Elephas maximus indicus: one gene and its partner. The protein of the gene in region 2 interacts with the protein of the main gene of each other region in a pairwise test. Links are inferred from orthologs where the notes say so. Each region holds a gene or a part of one and is shown on either strand. Other genes may lie near its edges.

Evidence for each region.
Region 1: the proteins of THAP7 (region 2) and LURAP1 interact in a two-hybrid assay, tested with the Homo sapiens proteins (2 studies listed by BioGRID and IntAct). The two-hybrid records come from large-scale screens. The link is inferred for Elephas maximus indicus from reciprocal best matches to the Homo sapiens genes THAP7 and LURAP1.

The regions. Positions count from the first base shown.
Region 1 is NC_064821.1:88,831,767-88,839,143, forward strand, and holds the start of LURAP1 (leucine rich adaptor protein 1), read left to right. Parts: upstream 1-4,360; 5' UTR 4,361-4,463; coding exon 4,464-4,661; intron 4,662-7,377. UniProt on the Homo sapiens protein: Acts as an activator of the canonical NF-kappa-B pathway and drive the production of pro-inflammatory cytokines. Promotes the antigen (Ag)-presenting and priming function of dendritic cells via the canonical NF-kappa-B pathway.
Region 2 is NC_064840.1:21,509,962-21,517,229, forward strand, and holds THAP7 (THAP domain-containing protein 7), read right to left. Parts: upstream 2,881-7,268; 5' UTR 2,835-2,880; intron 2,676-2,834; coding exon 2,596-2,675; intron 2,220-2,595; coding exon 2,064-2,219; intron 1,557-2,063; coding exon 1,416-1,556; exon of another isoform or gene 1,309-1,415; intron 1,224-1,308; coding exon 659-1,223; 3' UTR 522-658; downstream 1-521. Other genes in the region: tubulin alpha-3 chain-like, read right to left, coding at 3,822-4,118. UniProt on the Homo sapiens protein: Chromatin-associated, histone tail-binding protein that represses transcription via recruitment of HDAC3 and nuclear hormone receptor corepressors.

The DNA.
Region 1 (7,377 bases), on a different chromosome or scaffold from region 2:
CACTTTTTACTAACATATTTAAAAGATGTCTTTGGGTTTCTACCTAACCCTCTTTTCACAAATTCTCCATGGACGATCTCACCCACTTTCATGACCTCTATTACCACCTAGACTTGTAAACTCATAACTGCAGCCCTAACCTCTCTCCTGAGCTCCAGGCCAACCCATGTGTCAACTAACTGCTGGACATCTTGGACAAAAAAAAAAAAAAACAGTTACGTTGAGTTGAATTCAATTTATGGCAACCCCATGTGTGCAGAGAACTGCTCCGTAGGGTTTTAAAGGCTGTAACCTTTCAAAAGCAGATCACCAGGCTTTTCTTCTGAGATCCTCCAGGTGGGTTCAAACCACCAGCCTTTCAGAGTGGGGCACTTAGCCAACTGTACCACCCAGGGACTCCAGGCATCCCCACCAAAAAAAAAAAACCAAATCCGTTGCCATTTAGTCGATTCTGACTCATAACGACCCTATAGGTCAGAGTAGAACTGCCCCATATGGTTTACAAGGAGCGGCTGGTGGATTCTAACTGCTGACCTTTCAGTTAACAGCTGTAGCTCTTAACCATTACACCACCAGAGCTCCCAAGGACATTTCCACAGGCCCCTCCAATTCATGACTCTGGCTGAAATCATCTCCTCCCACTCCCAGACCTCTTCTTAGGTTTCCTTCCTTGTTGAATCATATCAGGCCAAACAGCTGGGCGTTAGCCTTGGTTCCTCCTTCTCTGTCCAGTCCCCAGGCCAGGTCTGTTTGCTCACCACTATATTCTTCACAGGGGGCTCTGGTGGCACAATGGTTAAAGTGCTCAGCTCTAACCAAAAGGTCAGCGGTTCAAACCCAACAACAGCTCAGAGAAAATACCTGGCCATCTGCTCCGATAAATATTCACAGCCTAGGAAACCCTATGGGGGCAGCTCTACTCTGTCCCAGAGTCGCTCTGAGTGAAAATCAACTGAGCAGCACACAATAACATATTCTCTACACTACACACAATGGTTAGCACATAGTGTTGTTGCAGGGTATAGTGTAGAGAATATGTTGTTAGGTGCCATCGAGTCGATTTTGGACTCATAGTGACCCCATGTGACAGAACAGAACTGCCCCATAGGATTTTCTAAGCTGTGTCTTTACGGAAGGAACCCTGGTGGCACGGTGGTTAAGTGCTTGGCTGCCAACTGAAATGTCAGCAGTTTGAACCCACCAAAGACTCCACAGGAGAAAAGACCTGGCGATTTGCTCCCACTAAGATTTATAGCCTGGGAAACCCTATGGGGCAGTTCTGCTCAGTCCTATAAGGCCACTGTGAGTCAGGATTGACTGGATGGCATACAATAATTTTTTTTAATTGCATTTTAAGTGAAAGTTTATAATCCAAGTCAGTTTCTCATACAAAAACTTATACACACGTTGTTATATGACCCTACTTGCTCTCCCTACAATACGACAGCACACTCCTTCTCTCCACCCTGTATTTCCCATGTTCATCCAACCCAGTCATGTCCCCCCGCCTTCTCATCTCGCCTCAAGACAGGAACTGCCCACATAGTCTCATGTGTCTACTTGAGCTAAGAAGCACAATCCCTACCAGTGTCATTTTATGTCTTATAGTCCAGTCTAATCTTTGTCTGAAGAGTTGGCTACGGGAATGGTTTTAGTTTTGGGCTAACAGAGAGTCTGGTATCCATGACCTCTGGGGTCCCTCCAGTCTCAGTCAGACCATTATATCTGGTCTTTTTACTAGAATTTGAGGTCTGTATCCCACTTTTCTTGGCACACAAAAATTTTTCCAGGAGCAGATCTGCTAGGCCTTTTTCCTGAGGAGCCATTAGGTGGGTTGGAGCTGCCAACCTTTTGGTTAGCAGCCAAGCATTTAACTGTTGCACCACCAGGCCTCTTAGCACATTGTAGGCTCTCCATAATATTTGTTGAAATAACTTATTTGTTCTTTTAACAAATATTTATTTAATTAATTTTTTTTTATTTTGCTTTAAGTGAAAGTTTACAAATCAAGTCAGTCTCTCATACAAAAACTTGTAAACCACCTTGCTATATACTCCCAACTGCTCTCCCCCTAATGAGACACCACACTCCTCCTCTCCACCCTGTATTTCCTGTGTCCATTCAACCTGATCCTGTCCCCCTCTGCCTTCTTTTCTTCCCTGCAGACAGAAGCTGCCCACATAGTCTCATGTGTCTACTTGAGCCAAGAAGCTCATTCCTCACCAGTATCATTTTCTGTCTTATGGTCCAGTCCTATCCCTGTCTAAGGAAACCCTGGTGGCATAGTGGTTAAGTGCTATGGCTGCTAACCAAAGGGTCGGCAGTTCTAATCCGCCAGATGCTCCTTGGAAGCTCTATGGGGCAGTTCTACTCTGTCCTATAGGGTCGCTATGAGTCAGAATCGACTCGACGGCACTGGGTTTTGGTTTATCCCTGTCTGAAGAGTTGGCTTTGGGAATGGTTCCGGTTTGGGGCACACAGAAGGTCTGGGGACCATGACCTCTGGGGTCCCTTTAATTTCAGCCAGACCGTTAAGTCTGCTCTTTTTACAAGAATTTGAGGTCAGCATCCACTGTTCTCCTGCTCCCCCAGGGATTCCCTGTTGTGTTCCCTGTCAGGGCAGTCATTGGTTGTAGCTGGGTACCATTTAATTCTTCTGGTCTCAGGCTGATGTAGTCTCTGGTTTATGTGGCTCTTTCCGTCTCTTTGGCTTATTTTTACCTTGTGTCTTCAGTGTTCTTCATTCTCCTTTGCTCCAGGTAGGTTGAGACCAATTGGTGCATCTTAGATGGCCACTTGCTAGCGTTTAACGCCCTAGAGGCCCCTTACCAAAGTGGGATGCAGAACATTTTCCTGATACATTTTATTATGCCAATTAACCTAGATGTCCCCCGAAAACATGGTCCCCAGGGCCCTGTCCCTGCTACTCTGCCCTTTTGAAGTGTTCAGTTATATTCAGGAAACCTCTTTGCTTTTGGTTTAGTCTAGTTGTGCTGACCTCTCCTACATAACTAATATTTATTGAATGCCACCGTAAATAAATGAATGTAACCAGTCACCAAGTCCTGTCAATCTTACATCCTAAAGAGCCCCATTCTGGTCTGATTCTTTCCAATCTCACAACCAGTCTGCTAGTCCAGGCTGTTTCAGTTTCTCATCTTTTAACTGGCCTCCTGGACACCAGATTTTTACCCCTTCAATCCTTTTTCCTTGTGAAATCCAGAGTAAGCTTTCAAAACTACAAATGTTTTTTGTCAATCTTTGACTTAAAGCCCTTCCATGGATGAAGAGACACTGTCTAAAGAACAGTGTTACTTAAAATCACAAAGGTAACCATTAGATGAACTAAAAATAGTGATAGAAGTATAAAGGACCATTGGAGGAAGGGAAATAGAGAGTATAAGTTATATCCATATTTATAATAGGAAGTCAGTAGACAATGTTTAAAATCAAATAGTAATAGTATAAGCCTACTGTTTAGAATTATGGGTTAAACACCAGGAAAAGAAAAACAACAACAACTGAAAGTGGTTGCCTATGGGGTATTGGACTAGAGGTGGGAAAGGAAAGCAGGAGTAATATTTTCATTGTAAATCCTTTTATAACCATAGACTGGAATTTCTTGGTTTAAACTAAAAAAACCAAGCCAAATTAAAAAAAAAAAAAAAGTTTTTAGTGGCTCTTCATTGCCCATAGAATAAAACATAACCTTGCTACTCAAAGTGTGGTCTGTGAACCAGTGGCATGGCCAACACCTGAGAGCTGGTTAGAAATACAAAATCTCAGGCCTCACCACTTACAGAACAAGATTCATAGAAGATTCATATGCACAATCAAATTTAAGAAGACGGATTTACAAGAGCCAGCATAATTTGGCCCATGTGGACCTCTCCAGCTTCAGCACTGTTTGCTTCCTCACTGGCCGGGAGGGCTTTCATTTCTGCTCCTTCTCTCTTGAGTTCTAGCCACGGGGCTAGTATTGGAGTGTGTGTTCCAGTGACTAGCTAAATCTAGACAGTTTTAGACCCAGCTCCTCTGCTCCAGGAAGCCTTCCAAAATCCTCTGCAGCCCTCTGCTACCGCTGTCCTTTAACCTTCCACATCCCCGACTGAGAATGCTTAGCCTTGATTCAGCACGCATTTATTGCGCGCCTGCTGTGTCCCTGGCTGGATTCAGTGCCCGAGTAGGGAGAAGACGTGGAGTTCTCCTAGGTACCCTTTCAGGTACAAATCCAGTATCGGCCAGCTCGACACATTCCAGGGCTAGAGGTTGTGTGCGCAGCACTCGAATATATACCTAGATTTGCGCAGCTTTTCTGAGTGTTACGGCACCTTCCTCCCGCCCCCCGCGCCGCGCGGGCGGGGACCCACCCGGTCGGCTCCGCATAGGCGCGGGAGACTGGCGGTCCCTTGGGAACAAGACCCCGGCGTCCGGTCTCCAGCACTGCTCAGGCTTGGGTCCGGATGGAAGGGGCCGCGGAGTCCCAGAAGCCTGACCTGCGAGACGTGGAGGGCAAGGTGGGCAGGAAGACCCCTGAAGGGCTGCTACGCGGGCTGCGAGGCGAATGGGAGCCAGGGACCCCTGGCGCCCTGCTGCTCCCGGGGGCAGCTAGCACGGGCCATGGCCTGGGGGACAAGATCATGGCGCTGAGGATAGAGCTGGTGAGTGTCGGCTCCACGGGCCAGGGGGTCGGAGTATCCTGTGTAGGGCCGGAAAGGACTGATTGATGCCCCCAGAGTTGGGCTGGAGAGGAGCGAGTTAAAACCCCTCACCTACCCCTCAGGACCCCACCCAAGTCTTTTCACAAACCCTGAGGCAGAGGTGGATTGATCTCCATTAATTGCCCCCGCAAGGGTAAGTGGGGTGTTAATGGGTCCTGAGGACTTGGGGTGGGAGGCACAGACTCTAGGAAGTTATCCTGTCAAATAAATGGGAGTGGGAAAATGAAGTCTGAGAAGCTACTGAGAACCTAAAAAAAAAAAACAAAAACCCACTGTCACAGTGACTCATAGTGACTCTAGGACAGAGTAGAACTGACCGATAGAGTTTCCAAAGAGCGCCTGGTGGATTCGAACTGCGGACCTCTTGGTTTACGGCCGTAGCACTTAACCACTACCCACCAGGGTTTCCACTGAGAACCTACGAGAGCACAAATCCACACAGGGACCACCTGTTTCCACCTCAGCCCCCTTTATAGGACATCCAGTTTTTTTTCTCCCTCTCCAAACTGGGAGCTTCTTGAGGACTGGGAAGGGGTTTGGTTCATCTGAGGCTCCAGTATTGAGGACAGGATTCAGCACCGAAGAGATCTGGGTGAGGGCATATCTGCTGAAAACTGCCTGGACCAGGAGCACTAAAAACATTCTCCCTCCCTTTGCCCAATGTCCCCACTTCCCCCTTTCCCGCTTGAAATATTTGAAAGTTCCTAGAACCATGACAGACACAGAGTAGGAGCACCATCAGTGTCTGTTCCCTCACCTCTGACTCAGTCTCCTACCCCAAGGTACACTGGATACTTGGATCCCATCTGTGTCTCCCTGGGGAGAAGATGAGGAAACAGGCACCCTCATCCCTGGTGCTGCTGGTCTAGATTCAGAGCCAAAAGGGCAGCTACCCGCTTCCCCCCACTCCTCACAGACTCCCCAGGGTCCTGGTTCCTGAGCAGGTGGTGATTTACACCTGCCATCACTTTGCAGCTAGTTTTAGGGATCTGAGAAATTGCTGGCCAGTCCCTGGCCCAGAACCAGGAGCCCACAGTGAGTGTGTCAGCTAAAAAGTCTTCCTGGAGCCCCACTGTGTGCCAGGCTGTGCTGTGAGGGATGGAGGGAGGAGATCACAGGGCTCCCAGACCAGTTAGGGTTCTTACCTCCTGAGAGGATAGGAGAGCCTTGTGGGCGGAGCAGTCAGGGAAGGCTCCCTGGGGGAAGGACCTGAATGCCAAGGGTGCACTTGGCCTTGAAGGTTGACTCTGCTAACCTGAGGCGCAGGGTGGCTGGGGGTTGGGGAGGGCTGGCTTTGCCTTATCCTACAAATAAAAGTTAACTTTCAGTGAGTGCATGTGCCAGGAATCATGCAATACTTTACGAGATATTATCTTAATCCCCACAGCATTCCTATTACATAAGCGATATTTTATGGATGAAGAATCTGAGGCACCGAGAGGTGAAATAACTGCCCAAGGTCATACAAAAAGTAAACAACAGAGCCAAGATTTGAACCCAGGTGGTCTGACTACACTTTACATCTTAACATTGAGACCTGCCTTGTGTCACATGCTTTAAACACATTGTCATTGAAGTGAGAAAGGTAGTCATCATTTTCCCTGTCACACAGCTATGGAAACTCTCTTGGAGATATTAAGCAGCTTGCCTGAGCTCAGGCAGGAAGTCAGCAGGGGAGCCATGCCTAATCACTCTTTTCTGCCTGTATTGGAGACTACTGTCCATGAACTTGAAAGGAGGTACATTTAACTTTTGATTTGTCTCTCTGTATTCTTAACTTTGCCTGGCCAGAGGCTGGAGGGAGGGAGTCTTCTGAGGGCCAGAACAGGGAGAGGCTCCTTATAGACACCCACAAATCCCTACCCCAATCCTTTCTCCCTCCTCAGGCCAGGGTGTCATTGATCCCTTCATGCACTCTGCCGTGACCACTGGCTTGGGCTCAGGGAGGACAAGGGGTGGGGCAGAGGGATTTCCCTTGGAGCCACTGGTGGCAGGACTGGTCCAAGTCCTGTAAGGACTGTCCTTCAACTGACCCCTTCCCAGCTGTCCTTACAGGGAGGAGCAGGCCTGCCTTTGAGGCCAAGGTCAGCTCTGCCTCTTCCCTCATGCCTCCCATCTCTATTCAAGGGTTGAGAGAACCAGCTGAAGTCTGGGTTATGTGGGAAGGAGAAACAATGGCAACATCCCCTTGGTCCTCCCACCCAAAGAACTGTTTCCAGGACAACCCACCCCCACAGAGCAGCTTGAGGAAAAGCTTTTAGGCCAGGAAGGTGAAGACATGGGTTTGAGATCTGGCTCTGCTCCTGAATTCTTTTGTGGTCTTGAGCAGGACCCTGTCTTTCTTCTTCCAGCCTCAGTTTTCTGCCTCTGGGAATAGGGGGTGGGATTTTGGAACTAGGTACTCTCTAAAGGCCCTTCTAGTAACAATGATCTGAGAATCTCAGTCCACAACCAGGATGCTGGGAGTGGGATCTCCAGGCTTTTACCCTAGAGTCTGATTTGGATGGAGCAATGAGGTAGCCATATCCCGTTATCCCAGGGCTGAGTAGAGAGTCTAATGTGTACATGTTGAGGGGAGGGGGTAGGGTGATTCAGAGAAGAAACCTGAATCCCCCTTGGAAAAGAATCAAGTTGGGGTGGCCTCTGAGGCTGCACA
Region 2 (7,268 bases):
TGCCTGGGCCTGCCTTGGCCGTTACACCACTGTATCCTTTCAGAAAGGAGTTCTGGTGGCAGTGATTAAAGTGATCGACTGGCAACTGCAAGTTGGGCTGTTTGACACCACCAGTGGCTCTGCAGGAGAAAAGCAGTAGTCTGCTTCCGTAGAGGTTTACGACCTTGGAAACCCTATGGGGTCACTATAAGTCGGAATCAATAGCAATAGGTTTGTCTGGGTTCCCTCAGAGACTTCTGTGGGGCATGGGGGGGGGTGGGCAACAGGCACCAGAGCCCCACCCTGGAGTCCCTGCCTCTTGGACAGGTGTGGGCTGCTACCTGTCCACCTGTGCAGCCGTGAGGAGGAACTGCAGGAAGAGAATGGGGTTTCTAGTCCAGGCAGGCAAGAGCTTGGGCTCCAGGGTCTGTGCCTTCTGGGGGCTGCAAGGACTTCTAGCCCACTGCCTGGTAGCCGTTTCCTGGGGAATGAACCTGAGACTCAAGGGGGTCCCCCAGCCCCATTGAAGCCAAACAGCAGGCCTCATTCTCACATCTGTTTTATTATGGCATCTGGTCAGGTCTGGTGGACACAGTTCATTTGGGTCCCTCTTGGGCAGAATCAGAGGGAGAGGAGGCTGGCACTGCCTCTCTGTCAGCTGGAGCCCAGTGCCCATCCCTCAGGCCAAGCTGCTGCCCAGCTGCATGGCAAAGTCCTGCACGTGCTCCTTCAGAGTCTGGCGGGCGTCAGCCTGTGCCCGCTTCTCCCGCGCCCGCTCCTGCTGCAGCTTGGTGAGGCGCAGCCGTAGCCGCTGCTCCCGTCGCTTGCAGGCCTGCAGCTGGCGCTGGGCCTTGTCCAGGGCATCGAGGGCTGCCTCGGCCCGCCTCTTCCAGAGCAGGGCACTGCCCACCTGATAGCTGTGCTCATTTTGGATGTAGGCCCCCGCGGGGGGTGGCAGGCGCAGCATGTACGCTGAGGGGGAGACAGGCCGAGGCTCCAGAGGGGAGGGCTGCCGCTCCGGCTCGCACTCCGGAGAAGGCTGGGTGCTGCAGCCTGCTTCATCTGCCTGGGCGCCCAGGGGCCCCAGGAGGTCTGAGAAGGGGCTGCTGAGGCCAGGCTCCAGCCTCCCAGCTGGAGAGGTCGGCAAAGCCGCAGGTGCTGAGGCCTCTTCTACGGGAAAGCAGGGGATGTCAGCAGGTGGAGGAGGAGAAAATGGAGTTGTGGGTCCACGGCCTTCAGAGCAGCTAGGGAGAGAAAGAACCTGACAAGCTGGGCCAAGGCCCTGCCAGACCTCATTTCACTAGCCCACCTGAGCGCCCCCACACACAGCTGGGCTCAGGACACTGCTCTCAGAACACCAGCAGGCACCCCACATCCCAGGCCCTCAGACTGCAGTAAGGGAGTGCAGCGGGGCTGCCCCCACCTGTAGCACATACCGTTTCCTGCATCGCTGGAGCCGACTGACTTCAGGAGGACCAGGTGGGTAACTGCGCCCCTTAGTCTTGCATGTCCGACGCAACTTGGAGAAAGACTCAAATATCGTGGGGACCGCCCCTTCCTTCAGCCTGTGATACCCGCTATGGGAAAAGCAGCCCGGATGAGCTGAGAGCAGATGCTGCCCCCACAGGCGGACCTGCCCTGGGCAGGGTGCCCCGCCAGCACCCCGGGGCAGGGTCCCTGGGCACCCTGGGGGAGGCAGGGAGGCAGACTGCGATAGGTAGCCTGGGGAGCGCAAGCGCCGGCAGTGAGACAATCTCCCCCCTGCAGGCCTCCTTGGAGCTAATGTGGCGAGAGACTCCCCAGCAGGGCCGGGGTGAGCAGCACAGGGGATTCTTTAATTTGTGCGCTTGCTGACAGTACTGAAGTTCTAAACAACAGTCTCTGGAAGGACTAATATTTTTTCTCTGCGTCACTGGCCCGATGATCCCGTCTTCATTAGTTAGAAGACAACTGGACGAGGCCGAACCGCCCTCGGAGCCTCGCCTTATTCGCTGCGCCAGGGCCCTCCTCATCGGCCACCCTCCGCCCGGCTTCTCCCACACCCACAGCCCACGCCCGACCCCGCTGGCCGCGAGGAGGCCCACCTGATTCCCACCAGCTCGAAGCAATTCTCTTCGAAGTGCTTGGAACAGAAGTAGATGTACTCGGACGCCGGGTCCCACAGGCCCTGGCCGCTCGGGTCCAGCCGCTGGCAGTTGGCCAACCACAAGCCTCGTCGCGGGTTGTCTTTCTTGGGAAGTCTGCGGAGCCACACACCCCTGAGCGCCGGGCCGCCGGCCGCGCGGGCTCATGCCGCCCGGGGCCCTGGGCAGAAAGGGCAGGCGCCGCGCACAGCGCCGGGCACGGAGTGAAGCCTCGAGGAGGCCAGCAGCTGGTTCAGCGTCACCTAGCGGTGAGAGTCAGGGAGCAGTGGGCCCACACCTCCCGCCCCTTCCTTCCCTTACAGATCGCGGTCCCACCGGCACCGCCCCCCTCACCCTCTCTCACCGGTGACTTCAAGCCTCGCCCCCGCCTGACGGAGGCCCGGGGCACATGCGCAGCCGGCGCCCAGAGCGGCGCGCGAGCCCAGCGCATGCGCACGCGAGCCTTCGCGCGGCAGCACGCACGCGCGCTGACCTGTGGAAGGAGATGCCGCGGTTGCGCGTTTCGCGCGTGTCCCGTGTGCAGCAGCCGGCGGCGGAACAGTGACGCGGCATCTGGGGGAGAGGCAGGAGCTTGGGCAAGGGCGTCTGTCCGGGCCCGCAGGGGCCTCGCGCCCCAACCGCCGCTCCGCTCCAGGGGCCCTGGCTTGTCGGGGCTCCCCCGGCCCTATCTTGCCCCAGCCCGGCCTCTGAACTCCTGTCAGCTGCACTCACGGTGTCGCCATTGCTGCGCCGCCGAAGTCTCGCGATGGGTGGCGCGCGGCGGAAATTGGCACCATAGAGACGGAGGAGCGGACGCGCGCGGCGCTCGGCTGTGGGCGGGACGGGAAGCGGGCGTGGCTGGCTGGCGAGTGGGCCAGGCCCGCGCGGCAAACGCGCTCCCGGTGCTGTCTTTTCGGCGCCCGCGCGGATCTGTGAGTTGCCCGGCGCCGACCGAGGGGCGCGTGATGGCGGCTGCCTTCCAGCTCTGGGGCGCACAGCCTACTGCACCGGCACCCACGGGAGCTGAGGGTCCCTAACTGCACAGAAGAAACCCCGATGACGAGAAGCGGCCGGGACGCTTGCCCGGAACCCCCTGGCAGACACCAGTGCTCAGAGCTTACTCCGGGATACCGGCCAGGGACTTCAGGCAGAGGGACGCCGGTGCGTCGGGCGGCCGTCACTAGTTACAGGGAAGTGTGATGGGCTGGAGGGCGCCGGTGGCAGCCTCGGACAGGAGCGCGGGGAGGCCGGAAGGATGGGCGTTTCCGACCTGGGTCTGCGCTGCCCTGGAGAAGCGGCGGGACCGGGCTCCACGCCGCCAAGCCGGGGTGCAGAGTCATCCCATGATTTCAGAAAGCTCTCTTTGGGCGAAAAAGGCAGATTGCCGTCCCGAGAACACCAAGTATGGCGAGCTAAAGACTTTATATTATTTGAGTAAAGCATTTTTCCGATTCCCTCAACCGAGCCTTTTGAGGCTTTTCTGGAGGTAATGTAAGTTACCAATTAAATGTGCACAGACATGCTTAATTTGTTCTTTTGAGAAGAAATAAACGGATGTTTCCCCTCTAGAAATCTCTTTGAAAAGCCAGGTATCTGGATTGGGAATTTTGTCAAAATGAAGCACAAGAGACGGGACGCCTCAATACAGAAATTTTAATAGATAAATCTGTAAATTACAGTCGGGGAGATACAAATAAATGGCTGCCAGCCACACTCCATCTAGTATTCTTCCCCTTCCTCGGCCTCTGCTTCCACGGAGTCCACGCCCACCTCTTCATAATCCTTCTCCAGCGCCGCCAGGTCCTCCCGGGCCTCCGAGAACTCGCCTTCCTCCATGCCTTCCCCCACGTACCAGTGCACAAAGGCGCGCTTGGCATACATGAGGTCGAACTTGTGGTCGAGGCGAGCCCAGGCCTCGGCGATGGCCGTGGTGTTGCTCAGCATGCACACGGCGCGCTGCACCTTGGCCAGGTCTCCCCCGGGGACGACGGTGGGGGGCTGGTAGTTGATGCCCACCTGTCACACAAGGGGAAGACAGAAGATAAGGTTAATACTGCTCTCAGAAATGATAGCTTAAAAAAAAAGCTGTGGGTCCAGTTTAAGTAATTACTGTAGACACAAAGATGACCACAAAACCAGCATATGATTACATATGTATGAGTATAGGCAAATAAGTATACGGGTAGGTACAGGTGTGCACGTAAGTGTGCACAGGTCGTAGTATCTATACACGTTGAGTACAGATATGTGTGTGCAGGCACATATATTGAAAGAAGACATAATTACTGATACTTCTCGGACATAACTGAACACTTTGTGGGATTGGTTTTCTAAGTTTGTAGGAAGAGGACCTTAGTCTCATGGGACAACTCCATCAATTGGCACAATATAGTTCACAAAGTTCATGTGCTGCATCCCAGTGAAGTGAGTAGTATCTGGGATCTTAAAAGTCTGCAAGCAGCCATCTAAGATATAACTATCGGTCTCTACTTGTCAGGAGCCAAAGAATATGAAGGTAACCAAAAATCACAGAGAGGAAACAAGTCTATAAGGCTAATTGCCTACACAAGCATGACCTCAACTACCCTGAGAACAGAAAAACGAGATGGTGCCCAGCTACCACCACTGACTTACCCAACCAGGGTCACAATACATGATCCTGGTTGAATGGGAGAAAAAGGCAGATCAAAATTCAAATTTATAAAAATGGCCAGATTAACTGGACCACTGAGACCAAAAGACTCCTTGAGGCTATTGCCCTGAGACGCTTTTCAAAACCTTGAATCAAAACTCCCTGAGATCACCTTTTAACAGAAAAGCATCAGGCTCCTGAAAATTTTGGGACCCATGCAGGAGACTGGATTAATGGCAGGACTGTGGAGAGAGCAACACACATTCAAAGCAGCATTGTTAGACATCATCTCTGAGTGGAGCACTTGGTCAAAATCCAAGGCAAGAGACCTGGTTGCTATGCAACAATGCCCTCATTTAAGTCGGCAATTACTGAACAGTTCCAAACTGATTCCAAGCGCTGCTCGAAACTAATGTCTATCATAGAGAATTAAATTATCATGTCAGTTTGTCATGCTGTGGTGGCTTGTGTGTTGCTGGAAGTTATACCAACGAGTATTTCAGAAACCAGCAGGGTCACCCATGAACTTTTCAGTGGAGCTTCCCAACTAAGAGACTAGAAAGAAAGACCCGGTTATCTACTTCCGAATTCTGAATATTAGTGAATAGAAACCTTATGGATCAGAAAAGCACGTTATTTGACTCGCCTGCTTTGGCTACATTATCAGGAGGGATCAACTACTAGAGGAAGACATCATGTTTGGTGAAGTAGAGGGCCAGTGAGGGCAAGGGAGACCCTCAGTGAGATGGACTGTCACAGTAGCCACAATGATGGACTGACACATGATGGTGATTGTGATGATGATACTGAGCCGGGTAACATTTTGTTCTGTTGTACATAAGGCTGCCCTGTGTCAGAGTCAGCAACTAACATCATCATCAAGAGTTAATACAGTTACACAGTAAAACACCATCTATGGTCATTAAAAAGAACTCTGTAGTCTCCAAGGTGCACTGTTATGCAAAAAGTAAAGCAGCTGTATGTGCCAGGCACTGAGCTTGACAGTAACTTTTCCCCATTTCTCAGGGAGGATCAGAGAGGATTGGTCAGTTGTCTGCTCAAGGTCACAGAGCCATGCGTAGTAGAGCCAAAATACAAATACTGTTGGCCAGACACTGGCACTTGAGCACTTAACCATTTTACTATTCTAAAAACTAATGTTATGATTGAATTTTGTCCCCCAAAAGAAATTCAGAAGTTCTAACCCCTGTACCTGTACATATGATCTGTTTCGAAATAGTTTTCGTTTGTTGTGTTAATGAAGCTATACCAAAGTAGGGTGGGTCCTAAACATCATTTCTGAGTGGTACAGAAAAAGCAGAATAGACAAACAGGCTATGGATTGAATTATATCCCCCCAAAAATCTGTGTATCAACTTCGTTAGGCCATGTGTGGTTGTCCTCCGTTTTGTGATTGTAATTTTATGTCACGAGGATTAAGGTGGGATTGTAATACTACCCTTAGTCAGGTCACCTCCTTGATCCAAGGTGAAGGGAGTTTCCCTGGGGTGTGGCCTGTACCACCTTGTATCTCTCAAGAGATGAAAGGGAAGCAAGCAGAGAGTTGGGGACCTCGTACCACCAAGAAAACAGCACGAGGAGCAGAGCGCATCCTTTGGACATGGGGTCCCTGTTCCTGAGAAGCTCCTCGACCAGGGGAAGATTGAGGACGAGGACCTTCCTTCCAGAGCCGACAGAGAAAGAAAGCCTTCCCCTGGAGCCGACACCCTGAATTTGGACTTGTAACCTACTAGACTGAGAAAATAAATTTCTCTTTGTTAAAGTCATCCACTTGTGGTATTTCTGTTATGGCAGCACTAGATGACTAAAACACCACATGAAGATTTGTCTGCAATCAGAGGAACAACAAGGATTGCTGGCAGACACCAGAAACTAGGAGAGAGGTCCAAAGAAGTAACTGGCACGACCAGGACCCTGATTTGGACTTTTAGCCTCTGGAACGGTTCTTTAAAGCCAAAAAAAAAAAAAAAATAAAGCAAGTTCAAGAATGCTACGTAATTATTCTTAGGCTTCAAAAAAACCAACACAGTAACAGACACAGGCTGGCACCTTGGATGGCAAGGGGAACAGCATAATGGAGGATAAAAAACAAAGGACCATGCTGAGGTGGTGACGCTGCCCTGCCCTGCCCCGATGGGTAAGCAGCACCTAGTCTCCAGAAGAGCTGGGAGTGGCAGGGAGAAGGGCACAGGGGACTTCTCACTCTGACCTAGGGGTACCCTGCAGCTCTAAGGCCAGCTGGCCTCTCCAAGTGGGAGTGTTGCCATCTTCCTGGTCTTTCTGGCCACGTATATGTAGTGAGTTGAATCTGTAACCTGCTCGAAAGGAAAGGGCATCCTTAGTCTGTGTCTGTTGGCATCTCTTGAAGGATAAACAAAAACCTCTGGGAAGGGGATGAGGACTTCAGTTTTTCAGGCTTCTACATTGTTTTAACATTTTACCACATACATATTATAATAAACATTTTTAAACATTGCAAAGACGCCTTGACAGTAAGTGTCCTGAGTAAATGG